Linked DNA regions of Alligator mississippiensis. The protein of the gene in region 1 purifies or fractionates together with the protein of each later gene. This does not show direct contact. Links are inferred from orthologs where the notes say so. Each region holds a gene or a part of one and is shown on either strand. Other genes may lie near its edges.

Region 1 (10,479 bases):
GTACGCGGGTAGATCCATTTTGCCTTGGACATCTCACAGATGCAGTTTGACTTGAGGGATATATAGCTAAATCATATGAATTCAATTGTATGAATCTATGTAAAGACAAAACTCCTAGTTTACTCCCTTTTCCATGGGAAATGGAAAACCTGGATCCCTGAGCCTAGCGAAAAAGAGGTTGCAGTAAAATTCCATCTCTCTGCATCCAGTTCAAGAATATTGCTCAGGCTTTTGTAATTTGTTGTTTCTCTTGTACTTCAAATAAATCCAGTCCTTTATTTGCATTGCGTCCCTAGATCATCCTTTTCAGTAATAGCAAACTAACTGCTTACTCTCAAAGTCTTTTGTGGCATATTCTCACTTAACTTGTTGGTTATCTGTTAGTATTGAATGGGAAGAGGTAGTTTGCAGAAGGCAGGATAGATGTACACCTTACAGACCAGGGGTGTCCAACCTTTTGAATGTGGGGCCAGATCATGAACTTTTTATCACCCAGTGGGCTGGCGAACCATATTCAAAGACCTCCCAGGAAGCGGTATCACATCTTCCCCCCCCCCCCCCCAAACGAAACTACAGTGTTTACTTTCATTTCCCATCGCAGCACCTCGGGCCTCAGAAAACACCTTGGAGGGCCGCATGTTGGACAAGCCTGTTATAGACTGACTAAATCAGATATTACAAGCTTTCTTAAGTAGCTGCTTACTTCATGAAATGAAGGGACTGCAAGAAGTAGAGCTTCTGAATAGACAGCTGTGATTAGTATACAGAAGGTAGGCAAAAGAAGGGATCACTGTTGGGAGAGGTGGATGGGAGAGAGGAAAAACAAATTAGTTAACCCAGGGACATAGGGGCTAAAGAAATTCAAGTAATGGGATAAGAATCCTGTAGTTTTGATTTAGATTAGGGAAGTCCCTAGTGGCAGCCCATGGGCTGCATATAGATCAGGGGCGGGCAGTTATTTCAGGCGGAGGGCTGCTTACTGGGTTTTAGTAAGATGTTGAAGGCTGCATTTCCCTCTCCAGTCCAGGGAAGCAGGAACAGCCCCACAGTCCCAGGCACCTGCCTCTGCTAGGCAGGGGCTTCTGGTTGGGGGGCTGGGGCTGGGCAGGCCATGCTGCTGGGTCCTGCTGCCAGCTTTCCCGGGGTACTACTGCCCCTGGCTCCTGTCATCTTTGACAGGCAGCCAGGAGCAAATAAATATTAATTTTCTAAAAATTTTAGGGGCCCCGTGGGCCAGATCGAATGGCCTGGTGGGCCAGATCCAGCCCCCAAGCTGTATTTTGCACACTCCTGATATAGATAGACCTCAGAGGATCAGCTTTGGGGACTTAAACTTCTCTGCATGGTTGTCGTTGCTCCCACCCTGCTGCTGTTCCTGCTGCAGCATCTGAGTTCTTTTGGTGATCCCACCTTCATCTTGCTGTTTTCTTACACTGGCTCCTGTAGCAGGAGGGGGCAAGGGTGCTGTTGTTGCATGCATGGTGGGGCCAGCTGCTTCTGCTGCATGTGAGATGGGTCCTTACAGTGGGTGCTCCCCCCCAGCTGCCCAGAAGTTGGACTGCTCTGGTTAGATTATACTTAATACAATCCAGTCTGTGGGTGTCTTGTTGTTGTTCAGTGACTTTTTTTTTTTTCCATTCAAGCTTTTTAAAGTTTTGCTTGAGAATAACTACTCTGAGGTCATAGCTAGAATGTCCAAGGAGGTTAAAATGTTGATGGGGGTCACTTCATTTTTGATCAGACAGAGCTACCAATCTGCAATATACATTTGTTATCTTTCTGAGCAAACTCCTCTAACCTTTATACTTTCTCCTGAGGCTTCTCTGCTAATGGAAATAAAATAGTAGTTTTAGCAAATAAGGGTTTAGTATCTGACTGGCAAATGGATAGTGATACTGACAAAACACTAACTGGTGTTGCACTTGTTCAGTATCCTATTCACAAGAGTGAACCTTCTAATCATGTCAGTTTATGCTTTAGGAAGGTTGGTGAGTCGCTTCAGAAGCAGAGACTGGCGTTCCTGGGAGAAAACACGCATTTTGTGGAAAAGTGGTGTAGATGGAGTGAAACTTCTCCCTGTTATCTCTTCGCATATGCTATAGTCTCAAATCTAAAGAGGGGTGCTAAAAACGGACTTTTTTTTGTTTTACAGTGGTAACACTTAATTTTATTCAGCAGTTGTAATTTATTAAACGTAGCACTTTTCTAGAACTTTTTAGAATCTTAATTCAGTCTTGATTTACTAGAAGAGCATCAGAAAACAATCACTTAGGCTATATTTCTTGAGATTAGTGCAAATTATATTTATTTCATCTCCAATATCTGCAGCATTCCTCTTACTGTTTAAAAGGACCAGCCACATAGTCACAGTGGCCATTGTTGCATCAGGGAAACTGGGTGAAGGCCAAGAAATAAAGCTATGTTCAAGTTGGGTGGAACCTCACATTTTTATATTAACTGTAAATATGTAATTTGAAACTCTTGAGAACCATCCAAGGCAACACTAAAATCCCTGTTTTTACCTCATGCCCAACTGTGTGGAGGTGGATAGACTCCCTGGACTTTGATGCAGACCTCTTCCTATGTCTCCTTGCCAGAGGATGTTTTTAGTCCTTTGCATAGTAGGTGACTAGCATTGCATGCATGTTTACCCACTTCCCTGATCATAGTTCCCTATAAGTAGAACAGGGACTTCAGAATGTTACAGTGTTCATTTTGAGCATAAAATGGCTCCTTGTAGCATGAGGTATCACAATAAATCAAGTTTATAATGATTTCTTTAATGATTATTCTTATCGCTCAAGTATCTGTATCTGCATGTAAATGCTTAGAATTTCCTCAAAGCAACTTGTGATAGACTTACCAGCAATGCCTATACAGTGCAGTACCTTCATTTTTGCAACATAAAGCAGATCTAGTAAGCAGGAATAATGTTTTTATTTTATATGGGTCAGGTGGCTTAAGTAAAAAAAAAACCAAACCCCCCCCCCCCCCAAAAACCTGAATAATTACAAAATGGGGAATCAACAAAACAATTTAAATGGGAACTAGAATATTAACGTAAGCCAGAGTATCTCCTAAGCAGTAGACCTGTTGCATATTTTCACTACTAAACAATCAATATGCTTTAAAATAAGAAGGCTTTTTATTAAAAATAACTTGGCAGTAAAGAATGTGTGGGTGGCTAGACTAATAATATTTGTTAGAGCCAGGCATGTGGTGTGCAAGATTCCCCACAATGCTGACAGTGTACATCTATTATAGTGTGTGAAATTCTTGTTTCAGTTTTAGGTCTCTCCTGAGCAGATGAATTTAGTTAACTCTGTTCACGTCTTTGAAGTAGAAATAATTGATTCTACTTTTTAAATTAAGAGGTTAGAGTAAATTAGATTAAAGAGGCATTTTTTCCTTTTAGCAATTTATTCCATTTCTTGAAGACATTGCTACCAGTTAATGTTTTTAGTATACTTGAATTCCAAATACCCATTCAGAACAGGATGGACTTAGAGCGGTTAGGAAAACACCCTCTGAGCATGAAATGATCCTTGTATGGAAAACAAGTGTCATAGTATCTGTGCTTAGAGGGCAAGGCAGAGGTGTGTGAATTCTACTTAGAGAATGAAAGTTGTGTTTAAAACATGCTGCAGATATTGGAGATGAAATAAATATAATTTGCACTAATTTCAAGAAATATAGCCTAAGTGATTGTTTTCTGATGCTCTTCTAGTAAATTGAGACTGAATTAAGATTCTAAAAAGTTCTAGAAAAGTGCTACATTTAAAAAAATTACAATTGCTGAATAAAAGTTCTGTTAGAAATATTTTGGTCTTGCAACTCTTAAAATATTGTACAGGTACTCCTCACTTAACGACCGAGTTCCGTTCCTGCGACTCGGTCGTTAAGCGAATTGGTTGATAAGCGAGGAGCCGGGCTGCGAGCGCGGGAGCTGTCCGCCCAGCGGTGCTGAACCTGCGGTGCGCCGTTTCCACAATACAGGTACTCCTCACTTAACAACCTCCTGCTTGGAGTACTGACTGCTCGGAGAGCTGGTCGTAAGTCTACGCGGTCGTTAAATAGGTAGGTCGTTAAGTGAGGAGTACCTGTATTGCTAAAACAAAAATAGCATTTCTGAGTAAAAGTAAGCACTGATACCTGGAAATAAAATACTAAAGTCTGAATAGGCAGAAAACAAAATTCTAATATGATACCTTAAATTGGTGGTCTCCCACCTTTTTAAGGTGAAGATCACTTTGAAGTAAAGGACAATCTAGGATTTACCATGCCCTCACCCCCCCACTGCCCAGTAGGTCAGTCTGGGGGGTGGAAGCAGATCGAGGCCCCCATGGCTAGGGGTGAGTGGGACCCTGGCCAGACCAGGAGAGGGTCAGAGCCTGGGTGGCTCAGCTGGGGCGGGCGGGGGGAGGCTGCCACTGTTGGGGTGCGTGCAGTGGCGGGAGCTTCCCTGCATGCCTGGACAAGCCACCTGGGCTCCAACCCACCCCTGGCCCAGCCAGGGTCCCACTCACCCAGTGGTAGGAGATGCAGTGGGGGGTATTTTCCCAGTTGCCCGGCCCTGGTGGCAGGGGGCACAGCTCAGCCCAGCCACGTGCATCCTACCGCTCCTGCGTCCCAGCCATTCCCGATTGCAGAGCCTCTGACAGTTGATCTCAGTCTGAGGGGGCTTTGACTGTCAGGGGCTGACTGGTTGGTGACCACTGCCTGAAATTATATTAGATTTGTAAACATACATAAGGGGTGTATAAGTACATAAAGGGTGTGCATCAGGACCTGGGAGAATGTCTGTTCACCTGAGCGCCCCAAGGAAAAACAAGGACCAACAGTCTCAAACTCCTCCAAGACTGTTTTAGACTGGACATAAGAAAAAAAATTCTTTACTATCTGAGCCCCCAAGACCTGGAATAGACTCCCTCCAGAAGTGGTGCAAGCACCTACTCTGGACTCATTCAAGAAATGCTTGGATGCTTACCTTGCTGGGATCCTTTGGCCCTAGCTGACTTCCTGCCCCTGCGGCAGGGGGCTGGACTTGATGATCTTTGAGGTCCCTTCCAGCCCTAAAGTCTATGAAATCTACGCTGTATGCATTTTCGTTTTACTTTTTAGTAAGCGTTAATATTTTGAGCTAAGTTGTACATATACTTGGGAACAGTAGCTGAAGTAACTTTTTTTTTTTCTCTCCCTTCTTTACAGCAGTTCTGTGGTGTTCTTGGTCACACATTTATGGAGTTTCTGAAGGGCAGTGGAGACTACTGCCAGGCACAGCACGACCTCTATGCAGACAAGTGAACTGTAGAAATTCATTACTACTCCACCAAGAAGCCCCCCTAAGAGTGATTAACCAGGATAAGAAGTGTTGAATTGAAATTGGCAGCGCATTTTACAAAGGAGTTCAGACCTGGATGGGGTAAACCTCAGTGCACTGCCTTTCTTTTGCCTCAGTATTACTGGATTGAAGAATTGCTGCTTCTTGTTAGGACGTTCATTTCATTTCCCATTGCTCCCAACTTCATACTTCCAAGCACTGAGAATTTCAAGTGGAGTATAGTGAAGTAGACTTCAGTTTCTCTACATCATTTCTGTATTAGAATTTTTTAATCCTTTCATAATCTTGTTGCATGTTTTTTAACTAAATTAATATGGCCCGAATGAACCGCCCAGCTCCTGTGGAAATCACCTACAAGAACATGAGATTCCTTATCACACACAATCCAACCAATGCAACCTTAAACAAATTTATCGAGGTAAGGTCTGGACGAAATGCTTTTTTTTTTTTTTTAATTTTATTTAATACAATGCTTTTAAAACCTAGAACAGTATGTGTTTTAATAATATATTTACTAATGGGATTCAGTTCTTAAGTGCTCTTCCTGTTGACTCAGGATTTGGGTCATAGTGATTCTCGCAAGCAGTGAGACATGTTTTACAGAATTACTGTACTCATGAAAATCATTCCTCTATCAAATTGCATCAGTATATTTATTTTTTAATGAACCATAAGCATGATCATAACGGTACTATTACTGATCAACAGGTACAGGGCAGAAAGAGAATATGTAATCTAATTAAAACAACAGAACATTGACAGGATCACAGTTAACTTGCATTTATTAGGTTTTGTTAATTAATGATCGCTCAATTCTTTAGTTCTGTCATGTCTTCAGCAGCTGATTTTTACTACCGTTAATCCATAAAGATGGGGAGAGGAAAGGGCAATATATTAAGACTATCTGGTACTAATTAGATGTGACTGCAAGTATTTATTAGGTATGCAGAAGTTGTCTAAATAAAGCTAGTTTGGCCATCAGCTGTAGCAGTGGAGCTACAGTAGTTTTAGAATTCATGTGACATACACAGACGTATCTGGGACTCCAACTACGTTCATGCTGGCTGAAATCTGGCTTGGCACAAGTTCACATTTGGTACTGGAGCCATTTTAAGCCAAAATTAACTTTGAGGCGTCTAAATCTGTTGCAGTAGCATTTTTGAATAGCCTTGTAAACATGGCCTGAGATCTACTTTTGACATTTGGGTTTCCCATAGAAGCTTTCCTTTGTGCTCTTGTAGAGGAAACAAGAAAACATCCCAAAGAATCACTACACAGCAGTGGTTCCCAACCTTTTTAGACCATGGAGGGCAAGTGACTGTGGACTAGCAAACTGAAGTGACCGGCATACTGCGGAACAGCAGCCAACCCTTTTTTATTCTCAGTATAAATAAACAAAAGGTTGGCTGCCCATCTGCAGTATGCCGGTCACTTCTGGACTTCCAGTCCAGCAGCCAAACCTTTGTGGCCCGGTACCAGGCTATGGCCAGGGGTTAGAAACTTTTACTACACACCATACAGTGTGTGTCACTCGTGCCTTGCTTCAAAAGACTAATAATAATTACTATGGATTGAGTCAGACTTGTGTAGTAGGTTTTAGATATGCAAATAAGGCAATCTTACTGCAGTGTGGTAGAGTGATTGTTTAAACTAGCCAGCTTGAGTGCTGGTAGCAGTCTAGTCATGGTAGCACATAGTGTGCTGAAGCAGAGTAAATCTAGCTTGCGATGTATTTTGTGCTGCCTCAGCTGAACTGGTGTTACTCAGGCTTGGTATAGGCCAAGAGTCAGCATCGTCTTGCTGTCACAAGCCACTGCTTGCAACCCAGCTCCTGCCACAGGCTGCAAATCTCTACAACTCTGTCTGGTAATTAGTGGATGCTTAGGACAGAATGAGGCAGCCAGTAGGACTGTGGGGACACCTCTGCTTCCCTAGCTGCAGAATGCTGCCAATTCCCTGAGTTGCCACAAGCAGTAGGTTGCTAACCCCTGATGTAGACAGTCTTGTTTTGATCCTTTGCACAGGATGCTTTTGGCTGAAGAATATAAATCCCAGATCCCAAGAGTTCCTATTCATGTATTCTAATAGAGAGAGAAAGAGAGTGCCATCCTGCCTAGCTTGTGCCATAATAAGTAGATAAAGCTCTTATGCTCTTGCCTCACAAAATCATAAGAACAAGTTCTGAATAAAAATAAAGACACCCTTTACCAATTAAAGGGTTGGATGAGTCTCTGGATTGGGCTCACAGACCTGCCTCCCACATGCCAGGTCCAATGCATGTGGCACTCGCTCTTGGCTGGTCCAGTACTATGCTGTGCATAGGGACAGAATAGGCCATGGAACAGATCCTGAGTCCCGGGCTTTATGCACTGGAATGAGCTGGGGAATGTCACATGATGTGAGTTAACTCAAAAGATGCAGGGACAGCATGGTCCAAATGTGACCTGTATGCCTTATCTTTGACACCCCTCAATTAAAGCTAAGACATCCCTTCGTCTTCCGTTCCAGACACTGACTATTATGGGGGGCTAGTTAGGATTTTTCTTGAGTTTCATTTTTGTAGTGAGTGGTGCTCAAGATCCCTGTCCTGATAAGAGCCTAAATGTTAAGCTTGCCTTATTTGCAGAACACAAATATAAGACGTGACCAGCAGTAAACTGGGCAATTATACCATGTTATATAATTGCACAGGCTAGTAATGTATGCAGCTTGTCTGTTCCAAAATGCTTTAGGGTATTTTTAAAAGTAAAAATACTTACAGAATCATAATGGCAGTGATGCATTACATCTCTATTTCCATTACACTTCCAGGGGAAAAAATGTGATTTAGCATAGCTCCTAACGTGCCACACGGAATAAATAAACACAACAATGTTAAGATCCTTGTAGTAATTTGGAAGTATTCAGTGAAAAATCCTGCTAACTTGATGATCAAGTAAACTATTTTGGCAGGAGGCTCTTTGAAAGGTACAAAAAAGTAGATGACCATTTTCTTTTGCTAAAATACAGTTTGTTGTGCTCTTTTTAGAGTCATGCTTAAAGGTCCCTATCAACATTATGCCAAATGCTGATAGTTTACCTCTTGGGGATTGAGCCCCAAAATCTTTGTGCTTCCCGGGCCTCCGCTGGGGTGCATGCATCAGCAGGAGCCCTCCCCATGTGTTTGGACAAGCTACCCAGGCTTTGATCCTCCCCTGGACCAGCCAGGGCCTCATTCACCCTGTGGCAGGGGACATGGTGCGTATAGGTGGAGGAAAGGGGTGGCTAACAGGGCTTAGCTCCCATTCCTCCAGTGCAGGGTAGCAGTAGGGCTGCAAGGCAGCCCGGCTGCAGGATTCTAGTGGCTGCAGCAAGAGTAGGGAGGGGTGGCATTCGCAGCAGTGAAAGAGGGAATGAGGCAGGGGGAAGGCCCTGCACAACTGGGGCACACGCAGGACAGAGCCACAAGCGGCTTGTCCAGGGGGCTCAGGGAGGGGAGGCATGCAGCCTGGCAAGGCATGGGGGGCGTATGCCCCCAGATCTACACACGGGGCAAAGCGGGCTGGACCCAGGGCAGTGCCAGGCTCTTCCTGGTACAGCTCTTCAGTTGCACAGCTCTTGAGCCGGGCAGTGGCAGCGCTGGGAGCAGGGCTGCAGGCACCTGAAAATTTGCTGTAGCCCCCCACCGCCTGCTCCCAGTGCTGCAACTGCCAGCACCGCTGCCACCCAGCCCAAGCGCCGCACAACCAATGAATCATGCTGGGAAGAGCCTGGCTTGGCCCGGGCCCACGTGCAAATCTGGGGTCATGTGCCCCCTGTGGCCTCCATACAAGCTGTTCGTGGCTCCATCCTGCACCTGCCCTGCCTATGCAGGGCTTGTCCCTGCTCATTCCCTCACTCACCGCTGTGGTGGAGGGCAGATTGAGGGAGAGAGCAGGGCACAAGTAGGAGCGGGGGCTGGGGAAGTGGGGGTCAAGCGGAGGCCAGAGGGACAATGTGCCTTCCAGGCCTCCACTTGCCCTACCACTGGGCCCAGCCAGACCCACTCCACCCAGCCCCTACTTCTGCCTGTTCCCTGCTCCCTCCCTCACTGCTGGGCCCTCAGTCTGCCCCCACCACCCCCAGTCCTTTTCACCCACAGACTTACCTGTTGGGTGGGGTGAGTCCCCAAATAATTTTTTTCCCCTCTGCTTCAATCTGCCCCCTCCATCTCTGCCCACAGACTGACCTTGAGGGGTGGGGTGGTGTAGGATAGATCTTGGGTTGCTTTTTAATTCAAAAAGTGATCTACCCAAAGAAGTTGGAGACCACTGTACTACAGGATAAGCTTATTAGCTGCTAAAATGACAATACATTGATTTTTACTGTTTGTCTAAAATTTGTTCTTTGAAGGCTGACTGAGAGAAGTGCAGATTCCTGTGAATAGGTCATCTTTAGGGGTACTTCTTGGTCTGTAACTTAAATCTGGTCATTGAAAGAATTTGCAGCACTAGCAGTGTACTTGGACTTCAGCAGTGCCAGGAAGAGAGCACTAATTTGAAGAAACTTTTTTAGAGGTGAAATATTGAAGGCTTTTGATGTTATTTCGGTGTATGCTTGAAATCAGCATAGCAGCTGCATTCATAAAAACATTGCTTACTAGTTGGAAGACTGTTGTCTGGGTTGGAGGGAACCTTACTGAAACTTTGAAACCTATTAGTAAGCTAAAGTGTAGGAAGTACTTAGGTGTGTCCTGCTGGGAAAGCCAAATGGTAAAAGTCAGGGGAATGTAGAAAAAAATGTCTTTTTCCTCCTCAGGAACTTAAGAAGTATGGAGTTACCACAGTGGTGAGAGTATGTGAAGCCACTTATGACACAGCTCCAGTGGAAAAAGAAGGCATTCAAGTTTTGGTGAGTGATCTGAAAAATTTGCTTGGAAGTTCTTTATAGCATTATGTAGCATTTAGTAGCTCATAATGTCTTTGGTAAGGTCTCAATTTGTCTGAATTTCTAATGCATTTGTCCTAGATGTTTCTAAATGAATGTTATTTTGGAGAAAAAATGGAACCTAAGCAATTGAAATATCACTTTCCAGTTCTTTAGTTTATTATCTTGAAATCCAGTATTCTTGCATACAATACTTGTATCCTGAGCATCCTTGTAACAAAGATTTTATAGCC
Region 2 (10,502 bases), on another chromosome or scaffold:
TCCGTGAGACATGGGACTGGGCCTGGCACAACAGCCCCAAACCTGCTGGATTAACCTAACCCTAGTGTCCTTGCCCACTGGGAGCTAGGGTCTGGCGGTGTTTCCGTCACCCACATGGTGAGCATGGGCGCTTAACAAAGCCAGACTGAGGCAGGTGAGTGGGGCACTGGTTGGTTTACTCCCAAGCCCCCCCAGAGGCCAGATGCCAGGAGGGCTGCACTATTGCCCTGCTGTGTCATTCCCCCGCCACCACCTCATAAAGGCTATGAACAGTGGAGGCCACATGGATGTACGTGGGGGCAGCTCCCCACCCTCACCCTGATAGCAGGCCCTTCTCCAGCAGCTGGGGCCATGATGAGAGTCTCCATCCATTCAGACTCTGACCCTCCAGGCCTTGAGGTAGCATCACCCGTTGTTCCCCTCGGCACTCTGACTGAGGCAGGAGCTGCTGAGCCAGGCTTTGGGGGCAGCTTGAGGCTCTGGCAGCAGTGCCCAAAGGCGGGAGGCCAAGGCAGCTCCCCCAGACAGCAGCATATCGGTCCCAGTAGTTCACAGAGCTGGGCCTGGCACCCAGGGTGGTGGGGTGGTCTTGGTGCGACTGTGAGGGCCCTGGCCATGTCCTAGACCTAGGGCTAAAGTTCGAGGCACTGATGGCAGGCGCTCAGGGACAGGGGAAGCAGCAGCTCCAGGCACAAGGCAGAGACCCAGGAGCATTGGGATTCTGGTGCAGGGGCTAGAGGTGCGCTGGCAGCACTTAAGCCCCTATGCCAGCCACAGCTCAGTAGAAGTGCTTGCGGCTCTGCTCCTGCCACTTGTTGTAGACTATGATGCCAATGACAACAGCAAAGACAGCGGCCACCAGGGAGAAGAAGACGATGAGGAAGAGGGCCAGGCCGCTCATGGGCTCCAGTGGCACGTCCACTGCAAGAGGCAGGTGATGGCATGAGCCTGCCGCCGCGCCCCCCCCCCCAATCCTTGAGAGCCCATGCCAGCCCTGCAGAGAGGCTTGGCTGGGCCCTAAGCCCCTGGTGCTGGGCACATGGCTGCAGCCTCCTTCCCTCACTCACAGCCAGGGAGCTTCATGTTGTCCACGACAGGCAGGAAGACCTCACGGTCCCACTTCTCCTCTTCGGGCGTGCGCTCCACTGTGAGCTGGTAGAGCTTCAGTGAAATAATGTCGTGGTTATCTGTGGGCACAGGAGGGCATGTGGGCACTGTACCAAGCTGTAGGCAGGCCCCCAGGCACAGGGAAGCCATGTGTGAGGGACCCAGGCACCCAAGGGGCTCTTGCAGGCCGACTCCACCTTGCTCTGGTGGAAACATCTTGGGCTCCAGTAAGCACCAGGTGCCACGGCATTGCGTAACAGCCTGCTGGGCTGCTAGGAAGGGGGGCCTTTGATCCCAGAGCACCTCATCCCTGTGGAGCCTGGCACTGGGGACAGGGGATCCGATACCTGAGAGGTCCCCGGTGACAGAGGAGGTGCCGAAATAGTAGCCTCGTGGCAAGCGCACACCCGGTACGTCAACACAGTCTCGCCACTCGTGCTTTCCGTCGATGTCTATCATGACCTGGAGGACAAATGGAAAAACCAGCTCTCAGGTTGGGTCATGCCACGCATCCCACCTTAGACTGCTGCTGCCCCCCCGCCCCATGCTCACTGTGAGGCGTCGCTTGACGTAGCGGATGACAAGGAAGGTGTCATGGTCCAGGTTGCGCACCATGGCGGTGCAGCCACCCAGCTCTGTGGGGCGTCCATCGTGGTCGTGGTCATAGCTCAGGGACCCATTATTCACCATGGCAGAGATGTAGGGGAACACACGCTGCAGTGGGAGGAGAGGAGACCTGAGCAATCACTCGCACTTCACTGCTAGTTGCAGGGAGCAGGGCTTCTGGGCACAGCTCTGAGCTGAGGCAGCTAGGCTGGAAGCTGTGGCTATCATGGCTGTAGCCTCCCACCAGCTAAACAGAACCCCCCAGGAGATGCCCCTCAGCTCTGTTTATGGCCACCTGCCCCAGATGCATGCTGCTGAGAGCCCCCATAGCACACTTGGCCTGGTGTGAGATCTGGGGAAGCCTGGCTGCAGGGATATGCAGGCCATGGCAGCCTCTAGGTCTGTACATCACCAGCCATGGGCTGCAGTCTCTCCCCTCCACCAGATGGCCAAGGGAAGGTGCTGCAAACTCCCCCCTCCAACCACGAAAATCAGGGAAGCCACAGTCGCATGCAGGAGAGGCTGAGCACTGGTATAGCCCTGGCAGCTGCCCCCCCGTGAGTGGGTACCTGATTTCCAGGGGTATAGCGCCTCTTCTGAGCCTGAGTCCCCAGGGGGAGTGCAAAGCAAAAGAGGTACAGAAGCGAGACAGTCACAAATCTCAGACCCTCCAAGAGAGGCCATCTCAGGAAATGCAGAGCCAAGGAAAGCTGCCCTAGCCCCAAGACCCTGGCCACGCTTCCTTGGGGGTCCCTTCCAGTCTGTGGAGCCAGGCAGGAACCTGAAAGGCTGGATCAGACTCAGGCTGGGCTAGGAGAAGGGTTCCCAGTTCTCCAGAGTTGCTGATCTGTGCGCTGAGGTCAGAGGCAGCCAGACCCCAGGTCACAGAGAGACAAGGGATCCTGCCACACACTCCTGGACAAGGGCCTTCCTGGAACCAAGTGATACCTTTGTTTGGGGCAAAAAGCAGCCAGAAAGATGCCCCTTAGCTCATGGATTCCCTTCCCTACTGATGCCCCAGAGAGATCCAGACTAGAGGACAGGCCCATGCTAGAGCAGAGCTCAGCGCATGATGGGATTCAGAGGCCCAGGAGGAGATCCGAGGTGCTGGCACAGGCAGTGGGAGTCCAGGATGTGCCTCCAGAGTTGAGGGCTCTGTACTGCAAAGCGGGCTCTACCACTTCCCTCTTCCCAGCCTGGCAGTATCCCCTGCCCTCAAGGGGTCAGCACTCACTCTCTCTTCTCCCCCAGCTGGCAGCCATGTCTATGTCTGTTGCTCTTGCTCTGAACATAGAAGGGGCCATAGATGGCCACCACGCATGGACAAAGCATCAGAGGAGGCAATGGGAGAGAGAAACTCAGGAGAGAGGCAGAGGGCCCCACAGGTGCCAAAAGCCATAAGCCAGCCAGGTGGCCTCCCAGTGCCCCTCACCTCCTGCTGCTTCTCCTCATTGGGATATGTGTCCACAAACACGCCCAGCCCCAGGAAGTTATCCTTGCTCCCGAAGACGGGTCCTGCACGAGGGGGGAGGGAGAGAGAGATTGTCAGCCATCTGCCACCCTATGTCGTTCTGGACAGGGCCCTGAAGTCACACCCCGAGGGTAAACCAAGTCACGAGCCCCATCAGGAGCCACAACCCAGTTCATCCACCTGACACGCAGAGAAGCCTCCACTCGGCAGTGGTAGCATTCAAAGGCCAGTCAGACCACGTGGCTGAGGTCAGTGACCCAACCTGTACTGCTTAAGAGAGAAGCTGTACCCTGGAGGCACATAACCCCACCAACTCCTGTCAGTGCTCTGAGCATCCAGAGCACAGAGTAGCCACAGGGGGTCCAAAGCTGCAGAGTCGAGGGAAGCAGTGGACTCTCCATCACTGGAGAGATTCAAGGAGAAGTCAGACAGCTGCTGGGCTGGGATGATCTAGGCATGGCAATGCCTGTGTTCTGCTATGGGGCTTCTGGGCTTTGCTGGTTGTCCTCCCTGCCCCACGTAGCAGCAGACAGGGCGGGTTTAAACCTTCCCCAGAGGTACTGGGTGCTGGCTGCAGCCCAGGCTGGGAATGGGGACTGGGCTGTGGCAATGCTCCTGCTGGGACTCAACCCTGGGGGTTCCTGGCTGGAGAGTCTTGCTGTCTGCTCAGGCTCAGACTAATGCTGCATTGGGGTCTCCCCTGCTCAGACTGGTACAGACTGGGAGGGCTTTGCCTTCCTCTGTAGCGGGGGCATGGCTTCTGCCTGGGATCATTTATCATCTGTTAACCACCTTTTACAAGACGGTGGCTGCCCTGGTCCCCCTGTTTTCCCTGCAGCAGGGTCAGGACCGATGTCTGGTGTGGCACCAGGGCTGATGATTATTTTGCGGAGAGTTTAGATGATGGACATGTCTGGGAAGGTTTGGACGGGGCTGCCTCAGGCAGGGGGTTGGCCCAGCTGTGACCTCTGCCGGTCCCTTCCCGCCCCACTTTTCTTGTGAGTCTACAATTGTCTCCCCATGTTTCGCCACCACCTTCCTCAAAGCCACTCCCTGGGCTAGCACCTGTCTGCATGCGGTCCTTGGTGTACCAGAGGGCGAACCCATCGCCGTTGAGGTTCTTCTTGCCCTGGCCATGGATCTTGAAGTGGACCTGCATCTCCCAGTCCCGCAGGTAGCAGGGCTGTGAAGTGGAGAGCATAGGCATGGTCAGGGGCATGTGGATACCACAGGCCCAATGCTCCCTGGCTCCAAGGCAGGTCCCTTGGGCATCACGGCCATGCAGCCAGCACCTTTACACCCCAGTGTCTGGTTTCCTCACAAAGCAATTATCCCCCAGCGAAGCTCATTAGGAGCAGGGAGTCCATTAGATCAAGGAAACAAAGGGAAAGTGAAGGGGGGGGGGGTCCTATTCCTCCCTGCTCTGCATACCGGCCCGAGTCCAGGCTAGAGCTGACAGCCAGCCCCTTCATCCCGCGCTGCAGCACTCACCACGCGGTTCCAGACGGCGCCCTGCCGGCTCTGCTGGTCAGGCGTCAGGCGGATGAACTGGGTCATGACCATGGCGTTGCCCAGCAGGTCCCAGAGCGCGGAGCTGGATGAGCCCACGCCTGGGGGCAGGGAGGGAAGCATCTGCACCCACTGTGGCCTGGGGGGCAGTGCCTGGCTTCCCCCAGCACTGCGGGCTCAGCCCCCACCCTGTGACCATCTAGCTGCCCCCCAAGTGCCCTCAGCTCCGCCCCTGGGAAACAAAGGCCCGCCCCCACACCCTCAGTTCTCGCTTGGGGGCCGCAAGCCCCGCCCCTTTACCCTCAGTTCCAACCTGGGATCCCCTAAGCTCCACCCCGTCATCTCAAGCCCCGCCCCCAAGCCCCCCGTTCTCCCTGGGGGGGGTCCTAAGCCCCGCCCCGCCCCCACCCTGGTATGGCTTGGTGAGCGAGTGCTCGCGCTTGAAGTGCTCCTCGGTCTGCTCGGCCCGCGCCAGCACCAGCGTCGCCAGTAGCAGCGGCAGGGCAGGGGCTGGGGCCAGGCGCAGCCCCACACACCGCAGCCGGCCCTCCGCCGCCATCTTGCCCGCGGCCCCGCCCCGCGCGCTCATTGGTCGCCGGGGCGCCCGGCCTCCGCCGTCATTGCCCCTCAGCCGCGGGACTCCGCCCCCCCACCAGAGCGGTGCACGGCCATTGGCGGGGGGCCCGCCATCCCCACGCTAGGAGGGGAGGGGCGCTGCCGCGGGGCATGCCGGGGAATGGAGTGCGGATAGGCACTTCCTGTCTCGGCCGGCCCGTCTTAAAGAGCTCGAGTCCCCTCCCCCCCCTCGGGAGCCGGCGGCGGGTGGCGACAGAGAAACAGTTGCCGGGCAACCCTGATGTGAGGGGGTGGTTGCCTAACAACGGACGGCGTGGTGATGGTTGCCGAGTGACCCCCCCACCTGCCTTTTGCCATTGGAGAGGGCGGCTTAGGTTTGACATGGCAGGTTGCCGGTGACCCTGGTGTCAGTTGCTGAGCAGCGGTAGGGTCGCAGTTGCTAGGCGACCCCTGGTCCTGGTGGCATGGTGACGGGTGCCGTGGTGTCAGGGCTGTGGTCGCCTGGCGACGGGAGTAGCGGGCTGGTGGGGATGCCCGGGTGATGGTGGCTTTGCGTTGACGTGGTAACAGTTGCCAGGTAACCCCGGTGATGGCTGCTTAGCCACGCCATGGTACTGGTTGCTGGGCAACCCGCTCCCCACCCCCCCACCCCCTCTCCGGGGTACCGGGCAGGGGGTGCTGCCTGTGACAGCAGGGTTGAGGCGGGGGCAATGGCCCAGCGCCGCCACGGCTCCTCGGGGCCGCCTGCTCTGTTGCCACGGCAACACCATTCCGGGTACGGCACCGGTACAGCGGGGCGGCCCGGCCGCTCCTTCCCCCCCGGCCCCGGCCCCGGCCCCGGCCCCCTGCCGCGGATCGATCCGCCGCCTCCAAACAACAGCGCCTCCGGCCGCGACTCAGCTCCGCCCCCCGCATCAGGGCTGCCGCCCCGGCGGCTCTTCCCGCCCCTTTCTCGGCGGCGGCCCTGAGGGGGCGGGGCGGGGCCGGGCCGGGGGGGCGGGGCCGGGCCGGGCGGGCAGTTGGCGGCGGCGGAAGATGGCGCCGGGCGCGCCGCGGCGGGGGTCGCGGGGGCGGGCGCGGGGCGCCGCGCTGGGGCTGGCGCTGGGGCTGCTGGCGCTGGCGCTGCTGGGCCGGGCGGCGGGCGCGGCGGGGCTGGGCGCCGCGGGGCCGCCGCGCGTGGTGGGCATGCGGCTGGAGCCGGAGGCGCAGGCCCCGGGCCTGGCGGCGGGCGTGCAGGTGGGCGAGGGCAGCCACGTGGCGCTGCGCCTCTTCGGCCTGGGGCTGCCCGCGCACACCTGGGAGCTGGTGGCCTTCGCCGAGGCGCCGGGCAGCGCCAACGCCTCGGGGGCCGCCAACGCCACGTGCGCCGCACCCTCGCCCGACGTGGAGGTGGAGCGGGGCACCTGGGATGCGGGCGAGGCCTCGGCCGTGCTGCGCCTGCGGGTGCGGGCGCTGCGCAAGCGGGAGCGGGCCAAGGCCTACGTGCTGTGCACGCGGGCCGCACCTGGGCAGCCGTGGCAGCGCCATGCGGGCGCCGAGGGCCGCCTGGTGGTGGTGGAGGAGAAGCGGTCTCTGCTGCCCACGTGGCTGCAGGCAGCGCTGCTGGCGGCACTGCTGGCACTGTCGGGCATGTTCAGTGGGCTCAACCTGGGCCTGATGGCGCTGGACCCCATGGAGCTGCGCATCGTGCAGAACTGCGGCACAGAGACAGAGCGCCGCCACGCCCGCCGCATCGAGCCCATCCGCCGCCACGGCAACTACCTGCTGTGCTCGCTGCTTCTGGGCAACGTGCTGGTCAACACCACCCTCACCATCCTGCTGGAGGACCTCATCGGCTCCGGGCTGGGCGCTGTGGCTGCCTCCACCGTGGGCATCGTCATCTTCGGCGAGATAGTGCCGCAGGCCCTGTGCTCGCGGCACGGCCTGGCCGTGGGTGCCAACACTGTCGTCCTCACCAAGTTCTTCATGCTGCTCACCTTCCCACTCTCCTACCCCATCAGCAAAGTGCTGGACTGCTTGCTGGGCCAGGAGATCGGCACCGTCTACAACCGGGAGAAGCTGGTGGAGATGCTGAAGGTGACAGAGCCCTACAACGACCTGGTGAAAGAGGAGCTGAACATGATCCAGGGGGCCCTGGAGCTGCGCACCAAGACGGTGGAGGACGTCATGACGCCACTGCATGACTGCTTCATGATCCCCGCTGAGGCTGTGCTGGACTTCAACACCATGTCAGAGATCATGGAGAGTGGCTACACCCGCATCCCCGTCTACGAGGATGAGCGCTCCAACATTGTGGACATCCTCTATGTCAAGGACCTGGCCTTCGTGGACCCTGACGACAGCACACCGCTCAAGACCATCGCCAAGTTCTACAACCACCCCGTGCACTTCGTCTTCCACGACACCAAGCTCGACGCCATGCTGGAGGAGTTCAAGAAGGGTAAGGGTGCCACACCGTGCCAGGGCAGGCAGGCGGGCAGGCAGAGGGTTTGTGGGGGGGGGGGTGTCCTGGCCTGGGGTCACTGGGGTCAGGCCTGGTCTGGGTTACCAGCGTCTGGTCTGGCCTGAGCTTAAGCTGACTGTGGCCCAGCCTGGGGTAACTGGTGTTGCTGGAATCGGATAACTAGGGCAGGCCTGTTCTGAGCTACCCTGGGCCTGGCCTGGTCTACGATAAAGCGCATCTGTCTGGACTAGTCTGGCCGGGCCTGGGGTAACTGGACTCTGGCCAGCCGGGGATTGTCCTCCCTCTAGATGCCTGGCAACTCCTGGGCAGGCCCCAACTCCCTGCTGGGGCTCTAATGAGGCAGGGACCTGGTACCTGCCCAGGGCCGGGGCAGCTCTGGCTCCGGCTCCTTAGACCCCCGAGTGTCTCTGCTGGGTGCACCTGTCGATTCCTGGGCTGGGAGGGGGGAATCTCCCTGGGCAAGGTCTACCCCACTCCGGCCCATCCTTCGGCTCCAGCCAGGCCTGGGTCCAGCCCCCTGAGGGTCCATGCCTCAGCCTCTCCTGCATGCCCTAGCACACCCGAAAGTGAAAGTGCAGCGAGGAGAGATAGGACTGACTTCCCTCACCCCGGAAGTAAAAGGAGCTAGAGGGGGTGGGGGGCAGGGAGCTGTTAGGGGGTTAATTTTGGGGGGGGCTGACAACACAACTGATTTTCCCCCCTAACCAGACAGTTGCTGTGCTTTGATCTGAGCCTGGGGTGGGCACCCTGTGGGCTGTGGGGTGGGAGCAGGTTCTTAGCCCAAACTTGCTGGGGGTCAGTGATGCCCCAGCCTGTGCAGGCTACATGATGTGGCGTGGCCCTGGCCTAACCCAATCCCTGGACTGACACCCCCCCCACCCCTCCCCAAGGAAGCCATGGGTGCCAGCCATGCCCAGATTTCAGGGTTCTCTCCCCAGGGTGTTTCCCTGCTGGTTGGGGTCAGGTTGAGGCTGGCTTGTTTCAGGGATATGCTGTTCTACTGGCTCAGGTCTACACTTGCCCACTCCAGGCAACATGCTTGTGAGAGCAGCCAGGTCCAAAGGTCCTGGCAGGCACCTGGGAGCACCACCCCTCAGGCCCCCCCCCCCCCATGGTGCGGGCACAGCCGGGCAGCAGCCTCCACCCCAGAGCAGCTGGGGGATGTCCCTTTCTGGCCTCAGTTTCCCTCTTCCCAACTGCAAGGACCAGAGCATACCTGGCTGTGGGGGGCACAAAAAGGGGAGGGGGTGGCAGCTGGCGTGGTTCTGCCCATGGTGAGCTCACTTGCTATGAATAGCCCCACAGTTAGTGTGACTTAAGCTGTAATTATGGGCGTCTGGGTGGCTAGGGGGGTGTGGGGGGGGCATCCGCCCCAGCCTGGCAGGGCTCCCATAGCAGTTTGGAACAGGAAGTAGAGCAGAGGGGCTTGATGGGTTCCTTAGTGCCTATGGGGGTGGAGGCAGGGGGCTTTGCCTTGCCTTGCAGAGGGGGCAGTCAGTGCAATGCCCTGCAAGACCCCCAGTTAAGGGTCCCCATCAGCCAGAGGAGGAAGCCTGGGGGTGGCTGCAGCCTGGCTGGCCCTGACCCGCACAGGGAGGAGACCTGGGAGAATCAAGGCTGATCTCCTCCTGGTGGGGTCATCTACCAGCTCCACCTGGGGGCACCAGCTGGCCTGGGGAGGGGGGTCTTCACTGCTCCTCCCCTCTGGCCAGCTCACCCCACATGTGACCCTGCATCTGCTGTCTACATGAGGATTTTCTCTGGTCCAGGCCTAATCCCAGTTTAGAGGCCTGGCTGCCAGCCATTTTTGCTGGGATTACTGCCCCCCCCCTCCCGCCCCTCCCCTTCCCCCCCAGCTGGGTTGGTTGTGGGCACAGGTGCCTTGGGGATCTGGGGGGGCATTGGACAACCTTGAGCTCCCAGCTGGTGCTAGACCCCCCCCAGCCTCTGTGCCAGTTGTGGCAGCTCATGCACCCCAGAAGCGGGTTGCATGGTGGCAGCCAGAGGTGTGGCAGCTGGGCAGATGGGTGAGGGGCCCATGGAGTTTTGGGTAGGGGCCCAGACTCCTGGGTTCTGCAGTTCTGGCCCCAGGGGTGTGGGAGGATGGGGAGGCTCTAGAAGCTGAGTTGCCTTGGTTGCTAATGAGGTGATTGCCCTGAACCCGCTTATTAGAGGGCCTGAGGTTTGGGGAGGGGGGGGTGAGAGAGAGTGGTGGGGAGAGTGCAGGTAAGCACTGTATGTGTGTGTGCTTTGTTTGTGCATGGGTGAGCACATGCCCTGTGTGTACACACACTGTGTGTGTGTGTGTGTGTGTGTGTGTGTGTGTGTGTGTGTGCGTGCGCACACGCACGCCTTCTGCATGCATGCACGGGTGTGTGTGCACACTCATGCACTCTGTGCATGTGTGCATTCACTGCATGCATTTGTGCACAAGCACTCTGGGGGTGGAGGGATGCACTCTGTGTGCGTGAATGTACAGGCAGACTGTGTTTTCACATGTGGGCCTGTGGTCTGTGTCCTTGTGTACATGGGTGCATGCATTCTATGTGCGTTTTTGTGCACCTGTGTGGGTGAGGAGGCTCTCTCTGTCTCCACATCCCACCGGCTCTCTGTGGGTTTGTGTGTGGGGATGGGTGAGGAGTGCCCCTCCCACCAACGTCCCCTGACCCAGACCCATGCCTCCATTGCCCACGCAGGCAAGTCACATCTGGCCATCGTGCAGAAGGTAAACAACGAGGGCGAGGGCGACCCTTTCTACGAGGTGCTGGG
Region 3 (10,084 bases), on another chromosome or scaffold:
AGACAGGGTAGGTTATACCAATCATTTCAGCAGCAAAACCAAAATAGCAAGAAAACAGGGAAAAAGTCTCATTTTAGCCAAGACCTTAAAGACATGTCGCTAAGAAAGGCTGTGAAGAGTTAGTAAAAAACTTAGCACCTCCCTTCCTGATCGCCACCTGGCTTCAGCTTACACCCCCAAACTGATCAACACCTTCTCATGAGAAGGGTAAAGAGGAGGGTTTCTACAGGTATGTCAGCAACAAGAGGAGGATGGGGCAGTGCGGGTCCCCTCCTGACTGGGGAGGGGGCAACCTAGTGACAGAGGAGGCAGAAAAGGCTGAAGTGCTCAAGGCCTTTTTCACCTCGGTCTTCACAGGCCAGGGCAGCTCCCAGCCGACCGCGCCGGGCAGCGCAGCGCAGCGCAGCGTGGAGGGGGGAGCAGCCCGCAGCGGTGAGAGATCAGGTTAGGGACTGCTTGGGAAAGCTGGACGTGCGCAAGTCCATGGGGCCGGACGGGAAGCACACAAGGGTGCTGAGGGAGTTGACTGATGAGACTGCAGAGCCGCTGGCCATCGTCTTTGAAAACGCATGGTGGGTGGGAGAAGTCTTGGACCATTGGAAAAGAGCAAATATAGTGTCTGTCTGTAAGAAAGGGAAGGAGGAAGATCCAGGGAACTACAGCCTCACCTCAGTCCTTGGAAAAAATCATGGAGCAGGTCCTCAGGGAATCCATTTCTGAACACCTGGAGGAGAGGGTCTCAAGTTGTAGCCAGGGAGGTTTAGGTTGGATATTAGAAAAAATGCTCTCACTAGGAGGGTGGAGCAGCACTGGAATGGGTTACCTAGAGTGGTGGAGTCTGTGGCAGAAATGCCACCATTGGTGCCCCTCTCCAGAGACCTGTCTCAGCCAGCCTGGGAGGCTGGTGTTTCATTCCTCAGGGTGGGGATCTCCCACCTGGTCTACATGACAAAAGCCTGGCGCCTGGGAGGCGATGCTCTGGTCACCTGGGCAGGGGGGAAAGGCCCGGCCCTGCGCGGGCCCAGGTAGCCAGGGATGCTGGGGAGATTGGTCGGCTTGTGGCCAGTATTGGCAGCTTCGACTGGACCGGGCTGCGGAGGTCAGAGAGGTTATTTAAGGGCTTGGTCCAAGAAGAAGGGAGTCAGCCATTAGCCATGCGGTCATCCAGGTGAATCTGAGCCTGGCTCTCTCCTCATCACCGCATGCTCCAAGAGTGCCCTGCCTTCAGAGGATACAACAACCACCTCTGGACGATGAGAGTGAGTAAGCTACTCAAGATCCGATTAGATATTTAGTTTCAGTAACTCAGATGCGTTTAAACGGCTACCTCAGCCACCCTGGTTTGCTCAATGGGATTCCTTTGATATTCCTGTAAGATTTCTATGATATTGCTCTACCTTTTACCCTGTTTCCGCCCTACCCCCTGTCATCAATAAAGTTCTCCTTTGTGACCGGTGTGGGAGACTGATTGAGGGGTGGGTCTAAATTATGCCAAGGAGGCCCCTTAGGTCGGTGGACTAAGGGAGACTTTCCTAATAAGCCCCTGACTTGGGGAAGTGCCCCAAGTGCTTGTATTGGGTCTAGGACCCATTGGACGATCAGGCCTGCGTTCTCCAAGGCGCGCAGAGCCAGAAGTGAGTCCGGAGCCTTGGATGGTGGCAGCGGGACCCCAGGCTAGCAGGTGTGCTCCAGGGAAGGGGTCGGCCGGACGGGAGGCACCCCAGGGAGGCACTCGGAGCCTGGACGGTGGTCGGGCGCGGGGAGGTGGGCGGCTCAACGCAGGAGCGCCCTTTACTGGCCCGCCACAGAGTCGCCATCCTTGACTGGATATTGTTCAGATGCTGAGTGGGTATTGGGTGGATATTCAGATAAACTGTCTCACGATGAGGGCAGTAAAGCACTGGCACAAGTTACCCAGAGAGGTGGTGGACTCTCCATCCTTGGAGACCCAGGTAGACAAAGCCTTGCTGGGATGGTGTAGTTGGGGTTGGTCCTGCTTGGAGTAGGGGCCTGGACTGGATGTGACCTCCTGGGGTCCCTTCAACCCTCCTTGTCTGTGATTCTAAGGTGATTTGGAGCAGTCAGCATGGACTCACCAGGGGCAAGTCATGCCTGACCAACCTGATTGTCTTCTATGACAAGATGATTGGCTCTGTGGATGCGGGGAGACCAGTGGACAGGATATCCCTTGACTTTAGCAAGGCTTTTGATACCGTCTCCCACATTCTCGCAAACAAGCTAATGAAGTACAGGTTGGATGAATGGACTGTATGGGTTCAGAGGGTAGTAAGCAATGGCTTGATGTCTAGCTGGCATCAAGTGCAGTGCCCTGGGGTCAGCCCTGGGGTTGGTTTTGTTCAATGTCTTCATCAACGACCTAGACAATGGGATGAGTTCATCCTCAGCAAGTCTGCAGATGACACCAAGCTGGGGGATGTAGTAGATATGCTGGAGGGTAGGGCTAACATTCAGAGTGGCTGAGACACACTGGAGGACTGGCCAAAAGAAATCTCAGGAGGTTCAACAAGGACGAGTGCAAAGTCCTGCACTGAGGAGGGAGCGATCCCCTGCACCGGTGCAGGCTGGGGCGACGGGCTGGGCAGCAGCTCTGCAGAAAAGGGCCTGGGGGGACAGGGGACAAGAAGCTGAACAGGAGCCAGCAGTGCGCCCTTGGTGCCAGGAAGGCGACTGGCATCCTGGGCTGCATGGGCAGGAGCAGGGCTAGCAGATGAAGGGCAGTGATTGATTATTGTCCTCTATTCAGCACTGGGGAGGCCACATCTGGAGTCCTGTGTCCAGCTGTGGGCCCCACTATGGAAAGGATGTGGACACGTTGGCGAGAGTCCAGCGGAGGGCAACGACAATGGTTGTGGGCTGGGGGACGGGACTGGTGAGGAGAGGCTGAGGGACCTGGGCTTGTTTAGTTTAGAGAAAAGGAGACGGAGGGGGATTGAATAGCTGCCTTCACCTCCCTGCAGGGGGGCTGCAAAGGGGATGGAGCTGGGCTGGTCTTAGATGACAGGACAAGGAGCAATGGGCACAAGTTGCAGCAAGGGAAGTTGAGGGTGGATATTAGGGAAAAACCCTCCCACCAGAAGGGTAGTAAGGGACTGCAACAGGTTACTGAGAGAGGCTGTGGACTCTCCATCCTTGGTGGTGTTTCAGACCTGGGTAGACAAAGCCTTGACTGGGATGATGTAGCTGGGGCTGGTCCTGCTTGGAGCAGGGGGCTGGGCTAGACGTGACCTCCTGAGGTCCCTTCAACCCTCATTTTCTGTGATTCTCAAAACGACCCTGTCTCCCCAGGGCCCAGCTGAGATGCAGTGATGTGCTTCAGCTGCCAAGAGCTGCATTGGTCTCCTAAAGTCACTGAAAGACCATGTCATTTAATAAAATGACCCCCTTCCCCCATAGGAAGAAAAGTCGGAGAAAGGAGATGAGCCAGGTCTCCGAGCCCTGAGGAGACACTGGCAGACAAGGCACACTACACAGGTGAGGGCCCCCGCTGACAACACTCCTCTGTTCATGCCAAGCACCGTTACCAGCAGCTCCTCTGCTAACCTCAACCGCACGCTGCGGGGAGACACGCACTTTCGCACCAAAACTTGAAGGACGCAGTGTTTTAAAGATCATAGCTGCTGCTTTGAAGTGCACCTGGAATGAACCAGGAAGCCCCGGCTGCCTTGAGAGGATGGGAGCAATATGCTCCCTGCAGTTCATGCCCCCAAGCAGGGAGCCCCGGTCTGCACCAGCTGTCATTTCCAAATGGGATGAAAGGGCAGCTCCAGAGACAGCTCACTGCTCCACTACAACCAAAGCCAGGCATGAACAGCACTTGCAGTCTCTGTAGCAGGGAAAGGCTGTCCCAAGGGCGTATCTCCACCAATTCTTCTAAACTACCAGCCTGATAAGAAAGAGACCACCCAGCCATTTCTACTGCCAGCCTCACCCCGTACACCTGTGATGGGCATGCCGGGAAGTCCCAGATCACTCAGCCTCATCTGATGCAAGATTCACCCCGCTTGTTCTCATCTGTATTTTCTCTCAGCCAGGCATTGGGGAAACTAAGGCAATGCGCAGTCCAAGGCTGAAAGAAGGACAGAACTTGAGTTATCTGAATGCTGTAGGTATAAACTGGCAAGCTGTATCCCCCACCACCATGTGCTTCACATCCTCCTGAGCAGGAGCAATGGAGTGGAAGCTGGGTTTCTCAGAAACAGCATCACAGAGATAAACACAAAAATAATTGTGGAGTCACAGAGAGGTGGGACCTGCGAGGGTCACGTCTAGTCCAACCTCTGCCTGAGGCAGGGGCACCCCCGTCCAAACCAGCCCAGACAAACCCCATGTCCAACCTCAGAGCCACACGACACAGCCTCAGGCATCACTCACGCTGACCCCGGCCCTGCCACAGGGAAAGCAGTGGGGACACGGTGGCCAAGTGTCCTGCTACTGCAGGGAGTGTCAAAATATGCTTGAGAGATCCCAAGAAGAGGTCATGCCCCCAGCTACAGAGGAAAGCAACCCCCCCCAGAGTCCACGCCAATCTGACCACGGGGTAAAATTCCTTCCTGACCCCAGAGATGGTCACTGATCCGACCATGAGCGCAGCGGCAAGACCCTCCAGCCAGGACCCTGCGGGGTTGGTGCCAGCAGGAGCACTGGCACAGCCCAGCCCCAGCCAGGGCTGCAAGAGAAGGCCTAAAAACCCCTGACAAGTAACAGCAGGAGGGGAAAAAATTCCCTCCCGGCCCCAGGTAGCCACCAGCAAAGCCCCACAGGACAGCATAGCTACGCCTAGATCATCCCCGAGCAGAACCTGCTCAGCCCCGTCCTGAGCAGCTGCAGTGATGGGCAGAGCCCACCCCTTTCCTGGGGACGCTGCTCTAACCGCCACGTTTTCCCATATCCAGTCTACTCTACACCCAGTGTGCAGCAGACTCAAATCCTCGCCCTGCTGTCCCGCTGCCACCCCACCTCCATGGGGCAGCAGGGCCCAGACACAGAGGCCGGCCCCAAGGGTCAGGCCAGTTGCAGCTACAGCACAGAGGCAGGGAGCGGGGAGCTAAGGCGACCTGTGCCACTCCGCCAGCCTGGAAAGGGACAGCGCTGCCGGCCGACCCGCAGGCCTGCGCCCCAACGCTGTGGGTCAGAAGCAGAAGTCTCTTGCTCTCACCCACCCTCCCCAGGAGCTCCTGCTGTTGCCTCTGGTCTAATTGGGGGGGTGCCCGCTCTGACAAGGCTCCATCAAAGCCCCAAGGGAGGCGCTGAGGCGGCTCTGGCCAACTCTGGCTTCAATGAAAGCAGAGGAAGGAGGCAAGCCCTGTCCCCGCATCCGTGCAGCTGCGGGCAGGAGCAGCGAGCCGGCAGGCGCGGAGGTGAGGGCGCCCGGGCGCGGCTCTCACCTGCTGCAGCCGCCCGCCCCGCGCGCCTCCCCCCGCACACGTGGGGCGGGCGGGCCTGCGTGCCGCAGTGTCACGCGGCGGGAGGGCGGTGCGGGATGGCGGGCTGGGGCCGGGGCCGCGGCGCGGTGCTGCTGCTGCTGCTGTCGCCGCCGGCCGGCGCCGCCTGGCTGCTGGGGCTGCGGCCCGAGGACACGGCGCCGGGCCGCGTGTCGCTGCGGGGCGGCGCGGTGCAGGCGGCCGAGGGCTCGCGCTTCGTGCTGCGCCTCTACTTCCAGCCGCGCAACGCCAGCCTGGAGCCGGAGCCGCGCCTCGTCTTCGTGGAGGAGCCGGCGGCGCCCACGGGCGCGGCGCGCTGCGGCCCGCACGGCGCCCGCGCCCGCGCCTCCGACGTGGAGGTGCTGGGCCCGCTGCGGCCCGGCGGCGCGGCCGGCTCGGCGCTGGCCGACGTGCGCGTGCGGGAGCCGCGCAAGGGCAAGGCGGCGGGGCCGGCCGGGCGCCTCTTCTCGCTGTGCGCCTGGGACGGGCGCGCCTGGCGGCACCACGGCGCCGGCGGGTTCCTGCTGCGCGTGCGGGCGCGGGGCGCGGCGCGGGGCTGGCGGGTGCCGCTGCCGGCGGGCGGCTGGCTGGTGGCGCTGGTGGCGCTGGCGCTGCTGGCGCTGTCGGCGCTCTTCGGCGGGCTGCGCCTGGCGCTGCTGGCGCTCGACCCGCTGGAGCTGCGCGTGCTGCGCAACAGCGGCTCGGCGGCGGAGCGCGAGCAGGCGCGGCGCGTGCAGGCGGTGCGCGGCCGCGGCGGCACGGACCTGCTGTGCACGCTGCTGCTGGGCCAGGCGGGCGCCAACGCGGCGCTGGCGGGCTGGCTGTGCGCCGCGCTGCCGGGGGACGCGGGGGGCGCGGGGGGCGCCGGCGTGCCCTGGCTGCCCGTGCTGCTCTGCACCGCCGCCGTGGTGCTGGGCGGCGAGGTGCTGCCCTACTCCGTGTGCTCGCGCCACGGGCTGGCGGTGGCGGCCCGCACGCTCTGCCTCACGCGCCTGCTGCTGGCGGCGGCCGCGCCGCTCTGCTACCCGCTGGGCCGGCTGCTGGACTGGGCGCTGCGCCGCGAGCTCAGCACCTGCTCCACGCGCGAGCGCCTGCTCGAGACGCTGCGCGCCGCCGGGCCGCACGACCTGGTGGGCGAGGAGCTGGCCATGGTGCAGGGCGCGCTGGAGCTGCGCACCAAGGTGGTGCAGGACGTGCTCACGCCGCTGGCCGACTGCTTCATGCTGCGGGCCGACGCCGTGCTGGACTTCGCCACCGTGTCCGAGATCCTGCGCTCGGGCTACACGCGCATCCCCGTCTACGAGGGCGAGCGGCGCGACAACATCGTGGACCTGCTCTTCGTCAAGGACCTGGCCTTCGTGGACCCCGACGACTGCACGCCGCTGCGCACCATCACCCGCTTCTACCACCGCCCGCTGCACTGCGTCTTCAGCGACACCCGCCTGGACACGCTGCTCGAGGAGTTCAAGAAGGGTGAGTCGGGCGCGGGCCCTGGGGAACGGCAGGTGGAGCGGGTGGCCCCAGCAAGGCCCCCCGCTCGTAGTCCCCGGGGGAGCGTGAGGGCTGCGCGTGCATCGTTAACGCCGTCCCCTTGAGCCCCGGGGCAGGGTGGACACTGCATGGCCTTGGGAAGGAGCCGGGGCAGTGGTCTGCAGGGGGCAGGCCCAGCCCTCACCCTGCCTGCATCGCTGTCTCGCTCGGTGGCCTTGGCCCAGTCCCTTGCTCCTGGCTCCCCGGAGCGGAGGCAGCCTCAGCAGTCTGTGCCTGGGGTGGACGCCAGGGCAGCTCACGTGGGGTTGGGACCCGTTTCCCCTCGGGTCGCTTAGGGCCTTTTTGGGGCTGCACTACAGGAGTGTCACGTCCAGGAGCAGGCACGTACCAGGACCGGCCACTGGGCCCCTCTCAAAAATCCAGTTACAGGGGTCCCCAAGCACAGGACGGGGCTTGTGGTGCCAGCTGCTGGGGCCTCGGCCCGCAGGCAGCTCGGTCCTGCTGCCCTTGCTTCCTGGGCAGGTGGGAGCAGGCCGGGGGCTGGCAGCAGTTCAGCTCAGCGTGGCCCAGGGTGCACGTGTGCCGTGCTGTTCCTGCGGAGGTGAGCGAGCAGGGCAGCCAGGGGTGAAGAGTGTGCAAAGCTGCAAAGAATTAGTGTGCAAGTGACTCAGAGAGAGGCTTGGGGAGAGCTGGGCCTTCTGCTGCTGCCGTGGCCTTCTCTGTGCTGGCAGGAGCTGCCTGCTGATTTAGAGGCTGGGCTGCAGCAGAGCTGCTGGGAGAACTGTGCTCCTAAACCCTTGTTCCTCCAAGCCTGGAGCTGTCACCACCGGCTGCACCTCATCCCCCCCCCAAATGGTGCTTGATGCTGTCAGGGAGCTTTTTTCTTCAGAAACGACTACAGCAGCAACACGCTGCATTACGTAACCGTAAGAGATGGGAACCAGCAGCCTCCCTCCGTGCCCCCGTCTTCCCTGCAGTCACGTGAGAAGCTGGTTGGGTCCCTGCTCCCCGCACCCGTTCCCTGCCAGTGCGCAGGGGGAGACGGCTTGCACTCACGCACCGATCTCAACAATGCGCCTGCAGCAATTTGGCATCTTGGCCCCAGACTCTGCAAACCCGAGTCTTGTGCTATGTGGATGCTGCTTGTGCAAAGCATCCAAACCCTCCCTCCTCTGCAGAGCATCCAAACCCTCCCCCTGGCTCAGGGTCCGGTCTCCTGCCGGCAAACCTTAGCCAGATCTAGCTTAAAGCCTGTTTGGGTTTTTGACCCTGCTATTCTCAAGAGCATCAGCAGTGCCAGACTGGGTCAGACCAGTGGTCCATCTAGCCCCGTATCCCATCTGACAGCAGCAAAAATGGTTGCCACATAGGGGAGCAGACCCAGATTAGATCTACAGTGATCTATCCCCCAGTTCAGCACCCTCCCTGGCATCAGTCATCGTTGGCTTAGAGATGCCAGAGGAAACAGCTCCGAGGGTCCGGTTCAATAGCCATTAACAGATCGATCCTCCCCAAGTTTATCCAGGCCTTGCTGAACCTGGCCGTGCTCTCTGGCTCCACCGCTCCTGGGGCAATGAATGTCACGAGTTAATGACGCGTTGCATAAAAAAGTACTTTCTCTTGTTAGTTTTAAGCCTGTCACCTACTCATTGCAGCAGATGCCGCCTTGTTCTAGCACTGTGGGACTCGGTGAATGACAGGTTGCTGTTCACTCGTTCGCACCCTTCATGATTTTACAGACCTCTACTCCTTTCCAAACTGAAGAGCCCCAGCCTCTCCTGGTACAGCGGCTGCTCCAGGCCCCTGCTCCTTTTGGCTGCCCTTTCCATTTCCAACATCACCACTCTAATGGTTAGACACTTTCTTCTGGTTTCCAGCCCATTTATATTCATTTGCTCTTGGGCTAACACTGTCCTTCAGCTTAAATCATTCTTCTCCCTCCCGGCTGGTTACCCCTCCCTGTATTTGTAGGCAGCAGATTGAAACCATAGGGTTACAACTTACAATAGCCGGGGAAATCCTGGCTTGCTTTTCCCCTTCCCTTCCTTCGTAAGACAGGCCAGAGGAAAGGACAGCCTAGCTAGTCGCACTTCTCAGCGCCTGCTTGGGTTTGAATGAGTTGTTTTGGGAAGACGGGTGTACGCAGCTTCCTGCTTAAATCAGTGCCTTGGGAAATGGCGTTACGGCCTTCCCCTTCTCTCCTGGGAGTTCTTGCCCAACTCGGAGAGCTGCCTTTGCCTCTTCCAGACCACGTCATGCTGGCGGGTCAGTCATCCTGCGACCCTCTAGTCTCTCCTCTCAGTTGCATCTCATCCAGGGGCTCCTAGCTCAGAGCAAACGTTCGTACCAGGCCCCAAGGGCTCAATGTTGCATTTGTACAATTAGGTTTCTACCCACTTCTTTTACTCCAGGCCTCAAGATCGTGCCTTTCTTCCTGCGCAAGACACTGCTCCTCCTCCATATTGTCTCAATGTTGGGAGGCATCATCGTCGGCAGTTTTCATTAGCACATTCCAGCTTCTTGTTCCCGAGTCTCACAATATTAAAGTGAGCCCCTAGACTGGTCCTTAAGGGGTGTCACTACTAACTTTCACCTCGTGTGCCTAGTTGAAGGGTAAGCAGTCTCCCTTTTAACCAGGGCCTTGCCTGCTGCAGCTCCTCCTCGTCCATGTAAAATTAATAAGCTTCCTGCATGCAGCGCATCAAGCATGACTCAAGTCCAGGCAGCAAGTCTGCTGCATTTCCTTTGTCTAGAAAATCAGTTTCTTTATGGAAGAACTACACCTGGCTCATTTGGCACGGCCCGTTTGGCAGGCGCCTGTTGTCCTTTAGCCACTTTAAATTCACCTCCACGTCTTTACGATTTTGCCCTCCAAAGCCTATTCTAAAACCTGCACATGCTACTGAGGGCAGATGAACAGGTCTGTAACTGCCTGGACCACTTCCACACTTCTGGACATGCACACCACACTCGCTTTTCTCCATCCGCTGGACACCACCCCTTCGCCAGGAGACTTATCCACCCCCCTTGCTGCCAGCCCTGCTGTCCTATGTGCCCGTTTCCTCAAGAGTGGGGACAGGGACAGAGCCTGACCCATCCCTGCTCTCTGCACTACGGGGCACAGGGCTGTGCTGCCGTAGCAAGGCTCCTCA

What was found.
Region 2: the proteins of PTP4A1 (region 1) and CNNM4 purify together in Homo sapiens (affinity purification with mass spectrometry; 6 studies listed by BioGRID and IntAct, with this or other methods). This does not show direct contact. The link is inferred for Alligator mississippiensis from reciprocal best matches to the Homo sapiens genes PTP4A1 and CNNM4.
Region 3: the proteins of PTP4A1 (region 1) and CNNM1 purify together in Homo sapiens (affinity purification with mass spectrometry; 4 studies listed by BioGRID and IntAct, with this or other methods). This does not show direct contact. The link is inferred for Alligator mississippiensis from reciprocal best matches to the Homo sapiens genes PTP4A1 and CNNM1.

What each region holds. Positions count from the first base shown.
Region 1 is NC_081824.1:54,212,014-54,222,492, forward strand, and holds the start of PTP4A1 (protein tyrosine phosphatase type IVA 1), read left to right. Parts: upstream 1-5,652; 5' UTR 5,653-5,654; coding exon 5,655-5,759; intron 5,760-10,117; coding exon 10,118-10,210; intron 10,211-10,479. Other genes in the region: uncharacterized LOC128125822 homolog, read left to right, coding at 5,209-5,304. UniProt on the Homo sapiens protein: Protein tyrosine phosphatase which stimulates progression from G1 into S phase during mitosis. May play a role in the development and maintenance of differentiating epithelial tissues.
Region 2 is NC_081830.1:10,488,105-10,498,606, reverse strand, and holds the start of CNNM4 (metal transporter CNNM4), read left to right. Parts: upstream 1-6,326; 5' UTR 6,327-6,454; coding exon 6,455-7,709; intron 7,710-10,429; coding exon 10,430-10,502. Other genes in the region: LMAN2L (VIP36-like protein), read right to left, coding at 779-921, 1,068-1,187, 1,455-1,569, 1,660-1,821, 2,283-2,315, 3,146-3,228, 4,250-4,367, 4,676-4,794 and 1 more. UniProt on the Homo sapiens protein: Probable metal transporter. The interaction with the metal ion chaperone COX11 suggests that it may play a role in sensory neuron functions. May play a role in biomineralization and retinal function.
Region 3 is NC_081829.1:100,971,255-100,981,338, forward strand, and holds the start of CNNM1 (metal transporter CNNM1), read left to right. Parts: upstream 1-5,500; coding exon 5,501-6,914; intron 6,915-10,084. UniProt on the Homo sapiens protein: Probable metal transporter.